3 linked regions of the Anolis sagrei genome follow. The protein of the gene in region 2 interacts with the protein of the main gene of each other region in a pairwise test. Links are inferred from orthologs where the notes say so. Each region holds a gene or a part of one and is shown on either strand. Other genes may lie near its edges.

Region 1 (3,754 bases), on a different chromosome or scaffold from region 2:
CAAGCATAGATGTAGGCAAAATGCCAGGAGAGAATGGCCATATAGCCCAAAAACCTACAACCACCCAATGATTCCAGCCATGACAGCCTTCGACAATACAATTTCATAGGATTTCCATGAATTTCATTGGGTTTTCTTGGACAAGGAATACGCAGTGATGATTTGTCTGGTTCCTTCTGAAATATAGCCTACAGCATCTTCAATTCATTGGTGGTCTCCCATCCAAGTAGTATCCAGGAATGACCCAGCTTAGCATATGAGCAAGCTTGTTTTCTGCTTCCTTGGAGACTAGGACGCGGAACAATGGCTTCAAACTACAAGAGAGGAGATTCCATCTGAACATTAGGAAGAACTTCCTGACTGTGAGAGCCGTTCAGCAGTGGAACTCTCTGCCCCGGAGTGTGGTGGAGGCTCCTTCTTTGGAAGCTTTTAAGCAGAGGCTGGATGGCCATTTGTCAGGGGTGATTTGAATGCAATATTCCTGCTTCTTGGCAGGGGGTTGGACTGGATGGCCCATGAGGTCTCTTCCAACTCTTTGATTCTATGACACCTCATCATATGAAATGCATTGAGCAAACCGCCACCAGAAAGCAACATACAGCGAATGTCAGTGGGTTGCTGTGAGTTTTCCGGGCTGTATAGTGAATGTCAGCTTTCAAATGTTACCGGAAGTTTAGTTACCGCACTAGTCGCTTTTATCTCTAAGCAGGGCTATGAGAACAAGGATCATAGTTGCCTTCCTCTTTTAAGCCTCTGTGGATGCCTGCGCCTGCTTCTTGCGCATGCGCTTCTCTGGCACGGCCCCCCGGTGCTCTCCTTTCTGCGCATGCGCTGTGCTTCTTCCTCCCGTCAAGTAAGATGGCGGCGTCCTCTGTCTGCCGGGTCGCGGGTTGCGTGGCCAAAAGGGGCCTTTTGCGCGGGCCTCGCGCGCCGGTGAGTGGGCTTCTGCGCGGGGAAGGAGCGGGAGGCGGCCGGTGGGCGGGAACGGGAAGGTGGAGACGTCTGTATCTGTAATATGAGGAGGTGGGATGGCTGCGCCACCCACGAAGGTCACGGCGAAGGAGGCTTGGCCCAGCCGCCGCCAGGCAGGGCAGCGAATCAAGGCGAATCCGGAATCAAGGCCGAGGCCCAGTGGCCTGGGCAGAAGAAGAAGCCACAGGTCTCCTTGCTGAGCAGGCTCGTTGCCTCCTTCCTGGGTTGGCCATGATAATGATTGTGCTGTTAGGAATGGTGGGAGTTGAAGTCCAAAACACCTGGAGGGCCCAAGTTTGCCCGTGTCTGAGATAGATACATAGGGTATATACTGCCTAAGCTATCTATCAATCTATCTATTGCATATACAGGAATTCCCCAAATTTCGAACAAGATAGGTTTTGTAGGTTTGTTCGTAAGTTGTTGTTTTTTTTTTTTGTCGTGTCAGGAGTGACTTGAGAAACTGCAAGTCGCTTCTGGCGTGAGAGAATTGGCTTTCTGTAAGGACATTGCCCAGGGGACAATGTCCTTACAGTTGATGGGGAGAGGCAGATGAGTTGATGTTTTTATCATCCTTATGGGAGGCATCTCTCATGTCCCCACATGAGGAGCTGAAGCTGATAGAGGGAGCTCATCTGCCTCTCCCCGGATTTGAACCTGCAACCCGTCGGTCTTCAGTCCTGCCGGCACAGGGGTTTAACCCACTGCGCCACCAGGGGCTCCAGAGTTCGTAAGTTGAATTCATACGTAATAACATAATAATAAATCTTTATTCATATCATCCCCAAAAAGGGATGCAGTATGAAATCAACAGCAGTTATACACATATATAACACATGAACCATCAATAAAATATAAACATTAAAAAACATTTTAAAAACATGTAAGTTGGAACAGGCAATTTTTTTAAAGTGTAACTTCATATATATATATATATACACACATATAAATAAAAGCAAGCTTTGGATATCATAAGGAAGGGTTATGTGGTGTTTGTTTTGCTGTCCGTGCCCCCTATTCATAAGATTTCACTTCACTTTCTCTTACTGTGAGGATCGTATTTTGAAAAATATGGCTTGTTGTAGAACAAGGATTGGTAATACAGCTTCAGTGGAGACATCTTTTCCCCATGGTTATGTTGATGTTGATAATCTTTATTTATAACTCGTCCTATCTATCCGAAGAGACTAAGGACTGTTTCTAAACAAAAAAGTGGCAAACATTCAATGCCATAATGAAAACAAACACCAAATCAAACCAATAAATAAACAACATCAATATAAACTTTTAATGACTAACCAATAAGTAAATAAATTAGAAACAAAATAGATTAGTTTAAAGGCTTAATAAAATATAATCAAACACATTTACTTTGTAATAAAATCTGACCACTAAAATGCATTAAAGTGTAAAATGGTTTATAGCCATCAATAGATTACTCCTCCGGGAGTGAATTTCCCTTCCAAGGGAAAGATTTCTCTCACTTCTTGTTGTCTCTCCCCCGTTCTTACCTAGACATATGTAAGTTGTCTGTCTGTAACTCGGGAACTGCCTGTACTGCTGTGGAAATACTTGGAGACAGTATAATAAAATAATATAATACAACTTTATTTATATCCCACACCTATCTCCCTGAGGGGTCTCAGAGTGGTTTCCAATAAAAGATTGGCAAACAAAAACAAATAAACAACCCAAACAAATCACAGAAATTCACATATAACATAAAATTATAACACATAATCAAAAATTAAATAATAAACATAACAGATCCATTACTTCACATCTAACATTAAAACACAACACAATTCTAACCAAATATCAGAATACATTTAAAATATTCAAATTTTATGCAGCCAACAATATGTTATTGAATTCCCTAAATATTCCAACCACATAGCTACTGGCTAAGAGTTGCAGTCTCCCACCTAAGAAATTTCCCCAAACATTGGATACACCTATTGTTGCTGTAAATTCTGCCTTTGGGCATTTCAAAACATTATTGGACCCTGTTCCTCAGATACTACTAGGCAAAATTATAGCCATGCATGACAATCATCCCGTATCTGGAATTTTGAACTCTCAAACAATTTAAATCATGTGAATGATGTTCAAGAACTCAGTGATGGAAACATTTGAAGACAGGTGGCCAGTGTCCACAGTTGTTTCTTTTTGATTTGTCAAACTCTGTAGCCCACAGGTAATATGTGGTCGTACAACGCCAATGCAATGAAACATCTGTCATTCATCTCTGTAGCAATCAATACTCCTCCTGTGGAGCACTTCTCAGTCCTCTGGGTTTAGTTTCAGGGATGACTGGGGTCTGCAATGTGGACAGTAGATTGCTTTTTCCCCATTTGCATTGAATAGGACTGGTTCATCAATGTGGGATACTTTCCTATAGATGGTTCCAGTATTATCTAACATTATGGATGTTCTTGTTTGTGCATCTCAGGCTGCTCTGGCAATTCATACTCTCTCTCTTACAGTTTCAGAGCATGTTTTTAATTCAGTTAGGTTTTAAGATTTTGATGTAGTTAGCTTTAGAGTTAACATCTTGACGATTTTTGTCATGTAGTTTTTGATTTCTTGTGCATGTGTGTTTTACCCAGCAGATTATTCTTGAAGGTCATTGTGGGTTTTTTCTGTCTTGAAAATTAAGTTGATGCATATATCTATGGCTAAGCTACATTGGTTTTAAGTTAATAAATTCCTATATATTTGTATTCTATTTTAATAGGACCAGACGTATGTTGTATGTTGTGTTTGCACTGTCTGTTTTTGA
Region 2 (3,754 bases):
CTCGGTGCCGCTTCTTCAACTTTGGTGAGATTTATTTGGAATTTTTAAAGAAATAAAAGTTGCTGAAATCTGGCTTCTCCTAGCTCGCCAAAGTAGCGATCCCTCTTTGGTGGGGTCTCAGGGTCCCTCCTCCTGGGAAAGACCCTCCTAAAGTTCCTATCGACTTCAGGTCAACTATAAATCCCAAATGACAAAATCAATCCCCCATAACCCTAGGTAGGTAGGTAGTCCCCTGACATTAAGTCCAGTCATGTCTGACTCTGGGGTGTGGTGCTCATCTCCATTTCTAAGCCGAAGAGCCAGCGTTGTCCGTAGACACCTCCAAGGTCATGTGGCCGGCATGATTGCATGGAGCGCCGTTACCTTCCCACCGGAGCGGTACCTATTGATCTACTCCCATAACCCTACCAGTATTTAAATTTGGGCGTATCAGGTATTTATGCCAAAATTTGGTCCACTGAATGTAAATACAGCCAGCATATCAGATATTTACATTATGATTATGATTCATAACAATAGCAACAGAACAGTATGAAGTAGCAACGAAAATAATGTTATGGTTGGGGGTCACCACAACATGAGGAACTGTATTAAGGGGCCGCAGCATTATGAAGGTTGAGAAGCACTGCCTTAGAGGAAGGAGGCCTGTGCAGATCAGAGAATAAGAGGCAACTAGCTCAAGGTCCAGAGCCACATTGCTGTCAGAGTTGTTAAAAGTCACCCATTGGGAGAGGACAGCAGCTGGTGCTGGAAATAGCAAACAATTTCTTGAGCAGTATAAGTTTAACCCTTGGTTTTATGGAAACAAGGAGGTCTTGGGTTGTGGATCCTGGGGTGGGTGCAGAGCAGGTTCATGTCGCTTACTTAACGCTCGAGGAAGTGTGACCATTTACACAACCGTGGCTCCAGTTTCTTTGTCCAAACAAACAACGAAGGAGAAAAATAAGGTCCATCCCTGGAAACCGACTTCCTCCAGCCATTTGGACAGGTTGTCCCCTCCACCTTGTTTACAGAGCGCAGGCTCTCTCTCTCTGGAGGGGCGATTGCTCCCCCTCCCCATGTGACAGCATGTCACCCTTTAGGAAACACGACCCCCTTCCCAACGGATCCTGCCAGCCGAAGCACATGTGACTCCCAGAGATAAATTATAAATAGACAAGAGCCAGACAAAAGTGCAGAAAGCCACAAGCTGAGCTTTAAGAGGCAGCCGACAAGTGCTCGAGAAGCCCAATAAGAAGACAGTAAGACATTTTCTGCAGAGACTTCCTCCACCTAGGATATAATTCGGAAGCCTCAAACAGGGCAATGGATTATCAGTCAAGCATCATACGGGACTCTAACCCCATGGAGAATCTGGAGAAGCAGTTGATCTGCCCCATCTGCCTGGAGATGTTCACCAAACCCGTGGTGATCCTTCCTTGCCAGCACAACCTCTGCAGGAAATGTGCCAATGACATCTTTCAGGTCAGTAGATCTCCTCCTAATATTGACCCGAAGTGGGTAAATGTCAGTTTCAATACTGCCAATGCTGGAAATAATGTTCAAGGGAGAGGTACAGGGTGAGGGAGATGAAGTGAGACAAGGAAGCAGCTGATGATAACTTTGAAAGCAAAGCTTGGATAAGTTTTTTTTAACTGAAATTCCCAGAATCTTCAAGACCTAGACAACATAATGAACTATCACAGGCACACCGGTCAGGAGAGCTTGCGAGTTGCAATTCAAAAACTATTTTTTTCTGAAAATGGAGTAGTATTTTCACAAAGAGTCAAATTTGCATTTTCGTAGAAGGACCTGTAATGAAATGTCTAGGCCAGTGTTTCTCAACCTGGGTGTCAGGACTCCTGTGGGGTTGGGTGCGAGTGTCAGAGGGGTTGCCAAAGACCATCAGAAAACACAGTATTTTCTGTTGGTCATGGGCATTCTGTATGGCAAGTTTGGCCCAATTCTATCGTTGGTGGGGTTCAGAATGCTCTTTTATTGGAGGTGAACTATAAATCCCAGGAAGTACAACTCCCAAATGTCAAGCTCTAGTGTCCCAAAACTCCACCAGTGTTCATATTTGGGCATATTGAGTATCCGTGCCAAGTTTGGTCCAGATACGTCATTTTTTGAGTCCACAGTGTTCTCTTAGATGGAGGTGCAGGTGAACTATAACTTCCAAACTCAAGGTCAATGCCCACCAAACCCTTCCAGTATTTTATGTTGGTCATGGGAGTTCTGTGTGCCAAGATTGGTTCAATTCCATCATTGGTGGAGTTCAGAATGCTTTTTGATTGTAGGTTAACTATAAATCCCGTCAACTACAACTCCTGGTGGAGCCCCTGGTGGCGCAGTGGGTTAAAGCACTGAGCTGCTGAGCTTGTTGATCGAAAGGTCGCAGGTTCAATTCCGGGGAGTGGCGTGAGCTTCCGCTGTCAGCCCTAGCTTTTGCCAACCTAGCACTTCGAAAACATGCAAATGTGAGTAGATCAATAGGTACCGCTCCGGCGGGAAGGTAACGGCGCTCCATGCAGTCATGCCGGCCACATGACCTTGGAGGTGTCTACGGACAACGCTGGCTCTTCGGCTTAGAAATGGAGATGAGCGCCACACCCCAGAGTCAGACATGACTGGACTTAATGTCAGGGGACTACCTTTACCTTTTTACAACTCCCAAATGACAAAATCAATCCCCACAACCCCACCAGTATTCAAATTTGGGTGTATCAGGTATTTGGTCCAGTGAATGAAAACACATCCTGCATTTCACATATTTACATTACGATTCATAACAGTAGCAAAATTACAAGTATGAAGTAGCAACAAAAATAATTGTGTGGTTGGGGGTCACCGCAACATGAGGAACTATATTCAGAGGCCGCAGCAATAGGAAGATTGAGAAACACTGAACTACAGGATAATCCTCTTTAAGGGAGGACACATAACCTCTATAAGCATCCAATAGAACAATACACCAACTGTTTGTAAAAACTTTGTTGGTAGAAATGGGCAAACTGCAACAAGAACCTAAGAATGGTGCCAATGTGTGCCACTAATTCTGATGAATATGAATTACAACAAATGAGGGGGGTTGGGAAACATTTATAAGTATTTTTTTGTTATCATGGTGCCAAACATTTTCTAAGGAGTCCCTGTCCCAGCCTTTGAAACATCAAACAAAGACAAATCCTCTCCGGATTGTACCTCTTGGTGAAGGTACTGGAAACAATCCCAAAAGGAATCTGTTTCCTATCTCAAGAGGAAGAACCAGCTGATAAGAGGACGGTCTCTTTGGGGCCTCTTCTAGTTGTGACGCAGTTGTTTCCAACAGTGTTGATTGCTGTTGCTTGACTTCCGAGACAACAAAATAAGGGGAGTCAGGAGGACAGCTCAGGGGCAAAGAAGATATTGGATTCGGCTTCTGGAACAGAGATCAAAGTTTTCCCAAGTTCTCATAGTTTGGCTGGCAGTTGGTGCCGTGGGAGTAGTGTTGATACTAAAGCCAAACCTAGCATGACTGACGGCAGAGCTTGCCAAGCTATGTTGGGAAAAAAATAATTTGTTGCCATTGCTCCTTCATAGCTTTTAAAAAGAAATAGTCTCATTGCTCATTACAGTGGTAAAAACTGGAAAAATAGCCTTCTAAGGTACAACTACATTGAATGAATGCAGACTGACTCCATTTTAATGGTCATGGCTCACGGTGGTATGGAGTCATGGGAATTGAAGTTTTACAAGGTCTTCTACAAGGTCTGGTTACATCCTGTATAGACTA
Region 3 (3,754 bases), on a different chromosome or scaffold from region 2:
CGGGAGAGAATGCCTCTAGAACATGGCCATATAGCCTGAAAAAACCTACAACAACCCAGTGATTCCGGCCATGAAAGCCTTCGACAATAAACCAGTAGGCTGTTAGGAATTGTGGGAGTTGACGTCCAAAATATCTGGAGGACCAAAGTTTAGCCATGCCTGAGTTCACTACCACAAAATATGGTGATGGCCAACTATTATCAGAGGTTGGAAACTTGTGGGTTTCCAGATATTGGTAAACTTCTACTATCATACTTCATTGTTATCCTGATTGGTTAATGTTGATGGGACTTGGGTGTTCCATAGGATCTAGAAAACCACAGATTACCCAGCACTGATTTAACTGAGTTTAAATGTAAATAAGATTAATGGGAATAAAGCAATCAATGCCTACTAGTCAAGGACGCTATGTGCCACCCCATGCCTCTAATGTCATTGGCTGGAGGACATGAATAGGAGGGGGTATGTCACTCTGTGCCCCTTTTGGTTGGGCTTTGATGAGGATCTGGTTGCCCGATTGTAGAAAAGATGGCACTAAACTAGAAAGAATCCACCAACTATGGACAAAGTCTTTCTCAAACTGTGTTCCTTCAGGTGTTTTGGACTTCAGCTCCCAGAAATCCTAGCCAGATTACCAGCTGTTAAGAATTGTGGGAGCTGAAGTCCAAAACATCTGGAGGAGCACAGTTTGAGAAACTCTGAAGTAGAGGAGAGGAGACAGCTATCCTCCAGGTGCTTTGTTTGTGAGCTCCCCAGAAGAATTTGCTTGGCCCTTTCTTGAGGCAGAAAGCATGTGCAGCTGGATCTAAACTCTTGGTCAGAAAGGCTAGCTAAGCGTTCTAGTATGAAAAGTAATTTTCTCAGCCTCTGGTCTGAATCAGTAATGCAAATTCATAATCTTGTTCATCACTTGTATGCATTGCGCACTTTTTTTTCAACTCACTCCATCCATTTAAACAGTGCTGGATTGCTGGTGGTCTGACTCAATGGCCATTGTCTCTCAACCTTACTATTTTTCATCCCCCCCTTTAGCACTTTCTTTATTTCCTCTTTTGTCAAAATATAGGCTGTAAGATCCACATGTAATGGCGTGTTGTTGCTCCTTGATACAATACTATTGTCATTTAATCTGATGTTCTATATTATATTAACTGATCCTGTTAATTTACTCTGTTTCCATGATTTTTCCTATGCCATTATACATTGTCATCTACCTTACTAAACCACTTTATCCTTTAATTAGCTCACGTAGTGGTTTTCCTCCCCCCCTCCAAAATTAGTCTCCTGTTATTGTCGTTGCTAGTTATTTTTGTTATGTTGTTTTATGTTGTTTTTATGCTGTTTTAATTGTTATTGCTTTGTTTTAATTGTATTCTGCCTGGGCTTGGCCCCATGTAAGCCTCCCCAAGTCCCTTCAGGGAGATGGAGGCGGGGTAGAAAAATAAAGTTCTTCTTCTACTACTACTACTACTACTACTATTACTATTACTACTACTACTACGGATGGAATAATGGCTATATACACCCTGATGATAATAACTGATGCAGACCATTTACAGCACTGTAGCAAAACTCATGCCAACCCAAAATAACGTTGCTATGGAGTAGCCTCTTCATCCTGGTGACCTCCCCCCCCCCCCCCCCCAAGATGTATTATGGCTGAGTTGGCTGGGGTTGGTGGGAGTTGTAGTCTAACACATCTGGAGGACAACAGCTTGGAGAAGTCTACTTTGAGCCATGGCAAAGAGAAATATTTCTGAGATATCAGGTCCCTAATGCCTACCTTTTTCTCACTTCTTATTGAACCCAGTTTAGACCCAAGTCTAAACGATTAGATGGATCTACCAAAACTTTGCCTCGTTTCATAGTCTTCTTTCGAGAATCCCAAACCTATCAGTAATTTTGTGACCATTTTATTATGACCACTTTGACCAAGCCTGACCCAAACCTTGCCTAACCCGAGATCATCAAAAGACTCACCCTTCTTCAGGACGAGTGGTGAGAGATAGGTCTTTCCATTCAGCGGAGAAGGATTCTTTCCGTGCCGTGTTCCTCTCAGACACCTGGCAAGCCAGTTCAGCTGCGGACAGTGTCCCAGAGCTTCTCAGGACCACACTCTTGCCGTGCATTGTTGCGTCTGTGTCTCTTCTTCGGCTGGGATGTGAATGTAAAGCCTCAGTTCTGCCTGGGCTATTGTCCCAGCCACGGGTGACTTATATAGTTTTCCGAGTGCCCATTCCCGAGGGATTGGCGTCTGGAGCTAAACTAGGCATGCTGAGTCACTGGTGGAGCATTCTGACACTGGATACGACTCTGATCCCCCTCCCTCTTTTTGCCTCCTCGGGTTGTATGTGTTATTGGAAACCACATTTGTGATGCTATAATATGTTATGTTCATTTAACCCTCCTCTTCCTGGTGAGAACTGCTGTCAACAGGCTGTTTAAATGACTGAGTGTGAAAGATCAAAAGGGTCTGACTTCTGCCACAGTGTTTTGGTGAAAGATTTTACATCAAATACTTTTCATTTAAAGTGGACTCCCTGAAGTTGAGATATAGTCGGTTTGCTTTTGGATCTCTTGTCTGTGACAACAGGCGAATCATAAGGATATGTGTGCATTTGTGATCATGTGCAGATGACATATATTTCCTTTTCATTAAGGATAATGAAATTTCATCCAATGTTTCAACTGCTTTAGACTTTGGGATCTCTGCAATTATTTGGGATTGATCACAATACCACAATTGAAGAGAGATATTGACAAGCTGGAATGTGTCCAGAGGAGGGCGACTAAAATGATCAAGAGTCTGGAGAACAAGACCTATGAGGAGTGGCTTAAAGAGCTTGGCATGTTTAGTCTGCAGAAGAGAAGGCTGAGAGGAGACATGGTAGCCATGTATAAATATGTGAGAGGAAATCATAGGGAGGAGGGAGCAAGCTTGTTTTATGCTGCCCTGGAGACTAGGATGTGGAAGAATGGCTTCTGAATTGAAATCTTAATCAATGTTGAATTCATGGTTATATTGAGATAGAATCATAGAGTTGGAAGAGACCTCATGGGCCATCCAATCCAACCAGGCCCGTAGCCAGGATTTCGTTTCGGGGGGGGGGGGGGCTGAATTTTTTTTCAGGGGGGGTTTCAGGGGGGCTGAGTTTCGGGGGGGGGGGGGGCTGAGTCTGAGTGAAAGAGGTTCTACCCTAGCAAACCTTTTGTATCATTACCCCAATACCCCCATGCATATGGGATATATTGAGTATGGTGATCAGATCATGATATGAATAAACATAACAGTTTAAATAATGCACCAATAAGGCCTTTTCGCGAACCACCATGAAAATTTGGGGGGGGGGGGCTGAAGCCCCCCGAGCCTCCCCCCCCCCCCCCGGCTACATGCCTGAAATCCAACCCCCTGGCAGGAAGCAGGAAAATTACATTCAAAATATTCCCAAAAGATGGCCATCCAGCCTCTGTTTTAAAGTCTCCAAAGAACAAGCCTCCAGGAACTACAGGAAAGGAGATTCCATCTGAACATTAGGAAGAACTTCCCGACTGTGAGAGCTGTTCAGCAGTGGAACTCTCTGCCCTGGAGTGTGGTGGAGGCTCCTTCTTTGGAAACTTTTTAACAGAGACTGGATGGCCATCTGTCAGGGGTACTTTGAATGTAATTTTCCTTCTTCTTGGCAGGGAGTTGGACTGGATGGCCGATGAGGTTTCTTCCAAGTCTATGATTCTGTCTCAATAGAACCATGGATTC

Evidence for each region.
Region 1: the proteins of TRIM63 (region 2) and UQCRC1 interact in a two-hybrid assay, tested with the Homo sapiens proteins (2 studies listed by BioGRID and IntAct). The link is inferred for Anolis sagrei from reciprocal best matches to the Homo sapiens genes TRIM63 and UQCRC1.
Region 3: the proteins of TRIM63 (region 2) and TCAP interact in a two-hybrid assay, tested with the Homo sapiens proteins (3 studies listed by BioGRID and IntAct). The link is inferred for Anolis sagrei from reciprocal best matches to the Homo sapiens genes TRIM63 and TCAP.

What each region holds. Positions count from the first base shown.
Region 1 is NC_090022.1:56,695,929-56,699,682, reverse strand, and holds the start of UQCRC1 (cytochrome b-c1 complex subunit 1, mitochondrial), read left to right. Parts: upstream 1-821; 5' UTR 822-858; coding exon 859-933; intron 934-3,754. UniProt on the Homo sapiens protein: Component of the ubiquinol-cytochrome c oxidoreductase, a multisubunit transmembrane complex that is part of the mitochondrial electron transport chain which drives oxidative phosphorylation.
Region 2 is NC_090034.1:74,269,641-74,273,394, forward strand, and holds the start of TRIM63 (E3 ubiquitin-protein ligase TRIM63), read left to right. Parts: upstream 1-1,165; 5' UTR 1,166-1,305; coding exon 1,306-1,464; intron 1,465-3,754. UniProt on the Homo sapiens protein: E3 ubiquitin ligase. Mediates the ubiquitination and subsequent proteasomal degradation of CKM, GMEB1 and HIBADH.
Region 3 is NC_090026.1:42,864,917-42,868,670, reverse strand, and holds the start of TCAP (telethonin), read right to left. Parts: upstream 2,200-3,754; 5' UTR 2,130-2,199; coding exon 1,981-2,129; intron 1-1,980. UniProt on the Homo sapiens protein: Muscle assembly regulating factor. Mediates the antiparallel assembly of titin (TTN) molecules at the sarcomeric Z-disk.